2 linked regions of the Cricetulus griseus genome follow. The protein of the gene in region 2 binds, or shares a complex with, the protein of the main gene of each other region. Links are inferred from orthologs where the notes say so. Each region holds a gene or a part of one and is shown on either strand. Other genes may lie near its edges.

Region 1 (4,604 bases), on a different chromosome or scaffold from region 2:
AGCCCAGCACTGGAGAAGTCAACTACACTGGGTAGCCCTGCCAAGAACTGCTGGGAGATTTGGTGATGGGAGATGAGGGAACCCACCTTTGCAGAGGATGAATCCCTTAAATAATTTACTCACTCCTTCCCATGGCCTGAGTTCTTCCATCCAAGAAAGCAGTTAGACACAAGGCAAGAGTTGAAATTTATTTGTAAAAAAGCTAAAGCCAGAGTCCCACCTTCCTGTAACCAGTCCAGTAAGGTGTCTCTAGGGCCCTGATCCTCCCATCCACCATCCGTCCTCTGACTCCAGCTTCCATCACTCTATTATGATGCTGCTACTTGGGTGAGGGGCTCCTCCAGGTACTGCACCAAGGCCTGGGCCTGCAAGGAGGGAAAAGCACATGTCAGTCCATGCATGGCCTATGCTTAGAGGTATCCCAAATTGGCTCCCTGCCCCACAATGAGCATCAACCAGACCCCAGCCCACCCCCACTGCTCTTCAGCCCATTTCAGACACGGACTAGATATGAGAATTTCAGAAAGGGGTACATGTAGGGAATGGACACAGTGAAGAGGGACTATGGCTGGGCCCAGGAAGGTTGTAACATAGGAATGTACTCACTTTGGCCTTCAGCATTCCGAAGCCTACAGTCTCCTTGGCATACATACATAGCAGAAGGTTGGCCACCCGAGTAATGGCTACACGGCCCTCCTAGTGGGGATGATACATTGAGGCATTCTGCTTGGCATCCTTAGTTCCTACCTTCCCCAGGGCTCCTCTGATCCTAGAGATATTGTCTTCAAGCCTGGCTGGGCGGGAAACTCATCTAGGAAGCTTTGCCCAGCTCTTAATACATAAGGGCCTGACACTGCCTCAGCACAGGCAATTCCTAATCAAGTTATTCTGGGAAACCAAGTCTCCCAGAAATGGGTTTTCTTCTCTAATGCCAAGAATTGTCTCAACAAGTGAGGTACCAGGAACAATAACCCAATTTGTTTGTTGCTCTTGCAGAGGACTTGGATTCAATTCCCAACACCTATATTGTGCATCCAGTTCAGGGGATCCAAAGCCTTCTTTTAGCCTCCTTGGGGGTACCATGCATGCACATGGTACACATATATAACACCTGGGAAAAACTCTCATAAAGGGGTGCTGGGAAAATGGCTCAGCGGTTAAGGGCACTGACTGCTCTTCCAGAGGACCCTGGTTCAATTCCCAGTACCCACATGACAGCTCACAGCTATCTGTAACTAACTCCAGTTCCTGGGGACCCCAACACCAATGAACATAAAATAAAAATTAATTAAAAAAAGAGAAGAAAAAAAAAAACAAAAAAAACAAAAAAAACAAAAAACCTCTCATACAGGGCTGGAGAGATGGCTCAGTGGTAAGAGCACTGCCTGGTCTTCCAAAGGTGAACTCCCAGCAACTACATGGTGTCTCACAACCACCTGTAATGAGATCTGGTGCCCTCTTCTGTCCTTCAGGGATACATGCAGAGAGAACACTGTATACATAATAAATACTTATTTTTAAAAAAAACCCTCTTGCCAGGCGGTGGTGGCGCACGCCTTTAGTCCCAGCACTCGGGAGGCAGAGGCAGGTGGATCTCTGTGAGTTCGAGACCAGCCTGGTCTACAAGAGCTAGTTCCAGGACAGCTCCAAAGCCACAGAGAAACCCTGTCTCGAAAAACCAAAAAAAAAAAAAAAAAAAAAAGACAGACTTCACATTGCAGCAAGAAAAGTGATGTTTCCTGAAACTTGTTTTAGGTGTGTGTATCAATGTGTATATTAGGCTTTGACTCAAAAACAAAAATTGTCTGAGAATGGATCTAGGACCCCAAAGAGCTCCACTACTGAGCTCCATCCTAAGTTCTTTAAAATACTCTTATTATGGCAGGGCTGTAGTGAATGTCTTTGGAGCTTTAGCTCTAGATTCAGCCCCCAGCAGGAGTCAGCAATGGTTAGGAGTGGTGTAAAGGGCTGCCTGAATAACAACGAAGAGCTTTCTGAGGGGCATTTGCCCTTAGGTGAACTGCTTCGGATCTGCATGCCATCACTGTCCAGGGTGCTAGGAACCAGGCATGCCTCTTTAGCTCTATCTCCTCATTCTGTGGTACACCATCCTTACTGATGGAGTATCCATTTGTCCAAGCATCACTCTACCCTAAGGCCTTTGCAATTGCTTTTCTGTCGGAAATACTTGCAGAGATCCACCTGCCTGCCTCAGTCTCTCAAGTGCTGGGACTAGAGGCATAAACCATGTCCCATACTGTCAAAAATATTTTTCCAACAGATCGCTGCATGGCTGATTCCCTTCCCTCTCCAATCTTCCTCCAATCTTTTAGGAAATGTCACCCTTTCATCTATCTGAACCCTACTCTCACTTTTTCTTTCTTCCTTCTTTAATATCTACGTATTACTTATTTGGCAAGGTACAGGGGTGCACACTTGCAATCTTAGTATTCGGGAGACTGAGGAAAGATGATCACTGCAGTTCGAGGTCAGCCTACTTTACTCCATACCATGCAGTCCATGAGGATAAATTTGAGATTGTCTTCATTAAATGCTTGGTTCCCGTTCCGGTCGTAGGCAGCCCAGATGTTACTGGCGATGGCCGCGGTGACCCGGGCATCTGTGTCCCCATAACCGGAGTAGGCCAGCAAGGATCCCTCGTTATTCAGCAGCCTGGCGAGGATGGAGAAGGATTATCGACAAACTCAGCAAGAGTGAAACGCCTGGGTTCCTATTCCAGTTCCCGCTACTGGCGCTTTTAGGAAGCCAGGATCTGCTAGGAATATATCCTGGAACATGCCCTACGCACTCGTCGACTTCCCTTTCCGAGGGGAGCCCTACGTAGGGTTCCCGAAACGGCCGCTCATACGACCAGCCTCCTCCCGGTGGAGGGCTACTTCCCTACCCCTGCTGCAGGCAGCCGCGCGCCGCCCCACTCCAGCGCTCGCCGCTCGGGTCCTTGTTGTGCACTCACAGGGTGCTTTGGACTCCCCCGGTGTTGGCTTGGCTTAGCACCTGCGTCAAAGCCTTGGGACGCAGCATGCCTGCGTCTCCTAACCCTGACCGGCACACACCCCGTCACCGCCGGCCGCAGCTCGCCAGCCGCTTCCGGTGGCCCAGAAGCCTACCTGCGAGGCGCCCTGGGAGTTGTAGTCTCCGGGCCTACCCACTGAGTCTCTGGCCCAATCCCCGCCCCGCGCGGGGGGTAGCTGGGAATTATAGTTTCTTGTGACCGCTCAAGGAATTCTGGGAACTATAGTTTGGCTTCCTCGCCAGACCATGAGGCGGGGAGGGGGGGTGGAGAGCGGGAGTGCAAGGACAGAGGCGACGTTGGAAGGACTTTTAACCCCTTGTACGAAAAGGGCGCCCTCGTGCCTACTAGTCAGCCCGCGATTCAATAATAATAAAGATCTGTGTTTGCTAGGCACACCCTTGGCCATTTTTCAAATCAGTATTGCACGATGGTCACAATTCTGTGCGGTACTGCAGTCTTGACACCCAAGGCTCAGAGAAGCCACGTAGGCAAACTCCAGGTCTCTGGATGTCCTCGATGGCCCCCTCGGGCCATAGCTATGCCTGCAGAGGTGTTAAGGGCGTCCAGATCCAGGAACGACCCCAGGCCTGGCAGAGATTCCGCCTCCTAAGAAAACCCAGTTACCCCAGGGAACAGAGATGAGGCGGCGACACAGAAAGTCCTTTGTCCCGATCGGGGGGGAGCCGCGGGCATCGCCGAGGCTCGGCGCCCGCTACGCCGCCCTCTGGGCTCCGGAGAAGCTTGCCCTGACCAGCTGCGAACCCCGCTCGGTCCTGGGCCGCCCCAGCTGCAGTGCCCCCCCGGGCCGCCCGGGGCGCTGTGGCTGCGGCTGTCCGGAGGGGGCGGCGGAGCCTTGGGGAGGGGCGGGAGGGGGAGTTGGAGGCGCCGGAGTCGAGCCGGGCCGGGCGGGCCGGGAGAGGAGCCGGGCGGGCTGGCGGGCGGCCGGGTGGCGGCATGGCGGAGCCGAGCGGGGCCGAGACGAGGCCCCAGATTCGGGTCACCGTCAAGACCCCCAAGGACAAGGAGGAGATCGTGATCTGCGATCGAGCCTCGGTCAAGGAGGTAGTACCGCTGGCGCTGGAGGGAGGAGGGCGGGAGCGGCGCACCGCGGGGTCAGCGCTGAGATGGAGACCTCGGGGACGGCCTGGCTGCGGGACGGGCCCCCGGCCGGGGCGGAGCCCACGGGGATCCGAGCTGCGCGAGGGCAGACGAGGCGGGTAGGGGGCGCCCTGCCTGGGCTAGTCCGGCGAGCGTGGTGCGACGGGTTTGGCCACGCTACCAGGGCTGGGGGCGTGGTGGGGGAGCTTGAGAAAGAGGCACCTGGCATGCGGGCGCCCCGAGGGTCCTCGGCTTGAGGGTAGAGTGCGCCACCGTTACTGGTGGAGGTTCCAGGCGCCGAGGCACAGTGTGGCCCGAGTGAGCTGTGGCTAAGCTCCCCCGGGAGAGTCGCGTGGTGAGGGTACTCTCTCTCCGTACAGATCCTTCCTGCTCGCACATCGAAACGGTTGTGTTGTTCAGTTTTCTGCTCTAAAGGATTTATTGAGCTCCGTAGGTGCTCAACAAAATAATG
Region 2 (4,643 bases):
AAAGGATCTTTAAGAAAAGCTGGCTCACAATGAGACCCACAATGCTTTCTATGCCTGCTTTTCCCAGCCCCATTCCTATCTTCCTGCAGGACCCCAATCAGGGGTTCAAGAACAAGGTTGTCTTACGAATTTCCTGAAAGGCCAAGCAACTCCAAATAGCAGACAAACTGAGGCAAGAGTAGTGGTGCGCATCTTTAATCTCAGAACTCAGAAGGCAAAAAAGATCTCTGAATTAAAACCAGCCTGGTCTACATAGCAAGTTCCAGGCCAGTCAAGGCTACATAGACACCTGCCAGCAAAAAAAGTTAATGACATCACCTGATACCCAAACAATGAGTAGTACATGGGGTAAGTCTGTCATATCAAAGTTTGCCTCTGGGACTGGAGAGATGGCTCAGCAGTTTAAGAGCACCACCAGCTGCTCTTACAAAGGGTCTGCGTTCAATTCTCAGTACCCACATGGCAGCTCAACAACTGTCTGTAACTCCAGTTCCAGGGGATCTGACACCCTCACACAGACATGCAGGCAAAACACCAATGCACATAAAAAATAAATTATTTGCCGGGCAGTGGTGGCATACACCTTTAATCCCAGCACTCGGGAGGCAGAGGCAGGTGGATCTCTGTGAGTTTGAGACCAGCCTGGTCTACAAGAACTAGTTCCAGGACAGCCTCCAAAGCCACAGAGAAACCTTGTCTCAAAATAAATAAATAAATAAATAAATAAATAAATAATTTAAGAGAAAGTTTGCTTCCCAAGCCAATACAACCTGAGTCAAGATTTATCTACTTTAGCACAGACCCACAACTGACTACATCGGAGCTTCTCCCAGTACATAAAGCATATGTCTTGTGCTTGGAAACAACTTGGCTAGAGCACTTCTAATGTTTGCCAAATCTTAGATCCTCTGAACTTTTTCCTCAGCTTTAAACATATGTTAATTTATAACAGGTAAATGTAAAAACCCTCTGAAAACCATGTTTGTAAATTTCTCTTTTTCTTTGAAACACAGGCTCATTGTACACCTCAGAACTGGCCCCAAATTCACTATGTAGCCAGACTGGCCACAAACTTGGAAGCAGTTCTCCACTTCAGCTTTCATAAACTGTTGTGATTATAAATGTAAGCCAACAGGGATGGCTGGCTTTTTATAATAAAAGGACAGACAATAGTGAAAATAGGAGGGCCTACTTAAAGAGGAGGCTGGGGCTATGACCCTATTAGTACAGTACATGCCCAGCAAGCATAAAGTTCTGGCTTTGATTTCCACTACTACATACACTAGACATAGATGACACATAGATAATGCCTGTGATCCCAGCACTCAGGCAGAAGCAGGAAACTCAGAAGTTCAAGGTCATTAATTACATAGCAAGTTTGCCAATCTGGGCTACATAAGACCCTGTTTCGGCAAGAAATAAGAATCAAGGAGAAGGAGGAATTTCAGGAGAGAAGCAAGGCGAGCTCTCCCTCCTGGAAGTAGGTATCCTTTTCCCATACTAGACCACATGCTGTAAGAGACACTAGTTCCATTCCGATTCAACTCTGTCATTAGGCAGGAATAATGCCCTCTCCTTTTTATTTTTATTTTTTTGATGTTTTGTGGTGACTTCCTATTTTTTGCTGTTCTTTCTTTTAGCAGGCCAGAATGAAGGGAAAGATTCTTGCCACAAGGCATGTCAAACTCAGGTCAAATAATGTTTTTGAGAATCAGGAACCACTCAGCCTGCCATACAAATCACATTTTCCTGAACTGCAGTTCTTAACCCAAAGTACCTTCATAGGGAAAGAACAACTTTCCAGGTACAGTGATACTATTTATTTCCCTGACTGTATTCACTAGGCTGGGTGAAACTGTTCTTTGTGGCTCAGTGCCTACTGTGTGTAGAAAGCAGAACTTAGGCTTTGAGGTATGGCCAGTGGCCTGGGACCCAGCCTTGCAAGTTTCCCCTCCTCAAAAGTGGTCAGGGAGGGTAGGGGATGTGGTGTGGAAAGCAATAAGAATGCACCAAGGAGAAGTTGGAAAATTTAAAATGCAAAACACTGTAAGTCTCTCCAAGGAAATGTTTTCTCGAAAGGAATAACTCTACAGTCACATTTTTCAGGATGCACTCTAGTTAGAGGAACCTTCAGGCACAGTCAGGGAACAGCAAACCAAACCAAAATGAGCTTCCTATACCCTCTTTCCTCCATATCGGTCAAAGCTAAACTCTATTGCTCCCCTAAAGTTCTGATGTCCTCACTCAAATTCTTCACTGCCCAATTCAAATGCCACCAACTTCCAGAGGCCTCCGACACCAGGCCAGTAGTGACATTACACCTCTAACACCAGTAACAGAATATACACAAATTTCTGATTTACCTTGGGAGACTAAGAGCCTCAAATTACCTATCTCTAGAATGGGTTCGTAAAGTACACTTATACAATCAGCAGTGAAGGCAAAGGAATCTAGGAAAGCGATTGCTTCCCAGGCACCCAGTCTGAAGAGTCAAGCTGTGAAAGTACGAGGGTACTGGAAAAATGGAAGGGGAGGGGCCGAGTGAGGCGGCGGCCAGCGTAACCCCAGGCTGGAGTAAGACTAGGATCTTTAAGAGGGTAGGAACACGGCTTGGCGTCCTCTCCGTAATCTGTCCCCTCCAGGCCTCCGTACTCGGTGAGCCTGCAATCCAGCTCCCAGCCGCTGCGGGCTTTTTCTGGGCCCCGGGTCCCGCGGTCGTAGCCCACAGTCCCAAACCCCGCCTGCCGCGGCCGCACCTGGTCCGAGTCCTCGTTTTCGCTGCTATAGCAGCACCCCATGGCGGGGTCGGGCCGGGCGCTCAGGCGGCGCCGAGGAGGGACGGCGTCCGTCAGGAGTCTTTCCGGTCACATGACCCGCGGCGGCCTCCCGCTCCCTTCCCCCGCCTAGCCTGTCCCAAAGCCTCTCTGGCCCCACAGCCAAATCTCGGCTTCCGGTCCCGCCCCTCCGCGTGACCATCGCCAACCAATGGAAAAGCCCGACCTACGTGACAGGACGCGTGGCACGTGATCCGGGAGACGAGTCACATGATTTTGTTGTCCCAGTCTCTAGATCTGAATCCTTTGATCCTCTAGCCAAAGTGTGATCACATGGTGTCAAGGCCACCTTTGTGAACCCAAGATCTATCAAGATAAATTCTTCAGTGTCTCGCGAGGGGCGAGTAGCATGGTGGAGTTGAGTGGGATGTGCTTCACTTCGGGAGCTATTTGCGTGTGTGTGTGTGTGTGTGTGTGTGTGTGTGTGTGTGTGTGTGTGTGTGTGTGTGTGTGTGTGTGTGTGTGTGTGTGTGTGTGTGTGTGTGTGTGTGTGTGTGTGTGTGTGTGTGTGTGCTGTTTGTGTGTGTGTGTGTGTGTGTGTGTCCCCGAGAGACCGAGAAAGGTCTCACTATGTAACCTGGCTGGCCTGAAATTCGCTGTGTAGACCAGGCTAGCCTCGAATTTAGAGAGCCACTTGCCTCTGCCTTCCAAGTGCTAGGATTCAAGGCGTATTTCACTATGCCTGGCAAAACTACATTTTTATTTATTTTGAGTACGCATATGAGTGTGAACTCGTGTGTCATGGTGCACATGTGGAGGTCACAGAACAACTTGTGGAAGTTGGTTGTCTCCTTCCACTATATGGTTCGTAGGGATTGAAGTCAAGTTGTCAGGCTTTCTGGCAGCCGGCTTGTAGCCACTGAGCCATTTCTGTAAGTTCCTTATTTGGCAGTTTCTTGATTAAGGTGAATTCTGCCTTCGCAGGCAGATGGCACACACTCGTCCCTCCAAATCAGAGATTACAGTCTTCAAAGTCCAAATACAAACTTTATCTTCCTGTTTGCCTTTTCTGATCCTATTCCGATCCCCTCAATCTCTTCACTTAATTAAATTAGCAAATGTTGAGGCCAGAGATGACTCGGTTATTTGGAGCATTGGCTGCTGCTCCTTCAGAGGACCCCAGTTCAATTCCCAGCACCCATATGGTGGCTCACAATCATCTATAACTCCAGTTCCAGGATAAACGATGCAGACACATACACGGTGCACAGACACACAAGCAGACCAAAAACATGAATACATATATATTAAAAATAAACTTCAAGGGCTGGACAGATGGCTCATAGGTTAAGAGCACTGGCTGCTCTTCCAGAGGTCCTGAGTTCAATTCCCAGCAACCACATGGGACTCACAACCATCTATAATGAGATCTGGTGCCCTCTTCCGATGTGCAGGCAGAACACTGTAGAAATATATAAATACTTTTTTAAAAAAAGAAACAACAAATATTTACTATCTACAGTATACCACTCCAGTGTTCAATTTGGATAGGTAGCTAATCAGAAAACAGCTCAAAGTCGCCATAGCAGTGGAATCCCTAGTCTCATGATCACATCGTATTCTATTGTATTGAGTTGCTGACTTCATCTCTTCTACCAAATGTGAGCCACTGGAAGACAGGGACAGAGTATAACTCTTCTCTGTGACCTATGCCCTAACATTTACTTACAGAAAAACTTGGATTTTGAACTGAGCAAATGAGTCCCACTTATTTTGGCTTGTGTCTTGACCCATATTCTGATCTCAAGGGGTTGGAGTAGTCACCAAATCTAGTGACATTAATTCTTCAAATCAAGACCCTAGAGTTCT

The links. The genes of interacting proteins can lie anywhere in the genome.
Region 1: Lamtor1 (region 2) and Lamtor2 share a complex: the UniProt entries of both Homo sapiens proteins name them as parts of the ragulator complex. The link is inferred for Cricetulus griseus from reciprocal best matches to the Homo sapiens genes LAMTOR1 and LAMTOR2.

Annotation. Positions count from the first base shown.
Region 1 is NW_023276806.1:65,955,276-65,959,879, reverse strand, and holds Lamtor2 (ragulator complex protein LAMTOR2), read right to left. Parts: upstream 3,136-4,604; 5' UTR 3,043-3,135; coding exon 2,975-3,042; intron 2,674-2,974; coding exon 2,511-2,673; intron 697-2,510; coding exon 607-696; intron 366-606; coding exon 309-365; 3' UTR 169-308; downstream 1-168. Other genes in the region: Ubqln4 (ubiquilin-4), read left to right, coding at 3,989-4,096. UniProt on the Homo sapiens protein: As part of the Ragulator complex it is involved in amino acid sensing and activation of mTORC1, a signaling complex promoting cell growth in response to growth factors, energy levels, and amino acids.
Region 2 is NC_048596.1:97,476,203-97,480,845, forward strand, and holds the start of Lamtor1 (ragulator complex protein LAMTOR1), read right to left. Parts: upstream 2,915-4,643; 5' UTR 2,799-2,914; coding exon 2,757-2,798; intron 1-2,756. UniProt on the Homo sapiens protein: Key component of the Ragulator complex, a multiprotein complex involved in amino acid sensing and activation of mTORC1, a signaling complex promoting cell growth in response to growth factors, energy levels, and amino acids.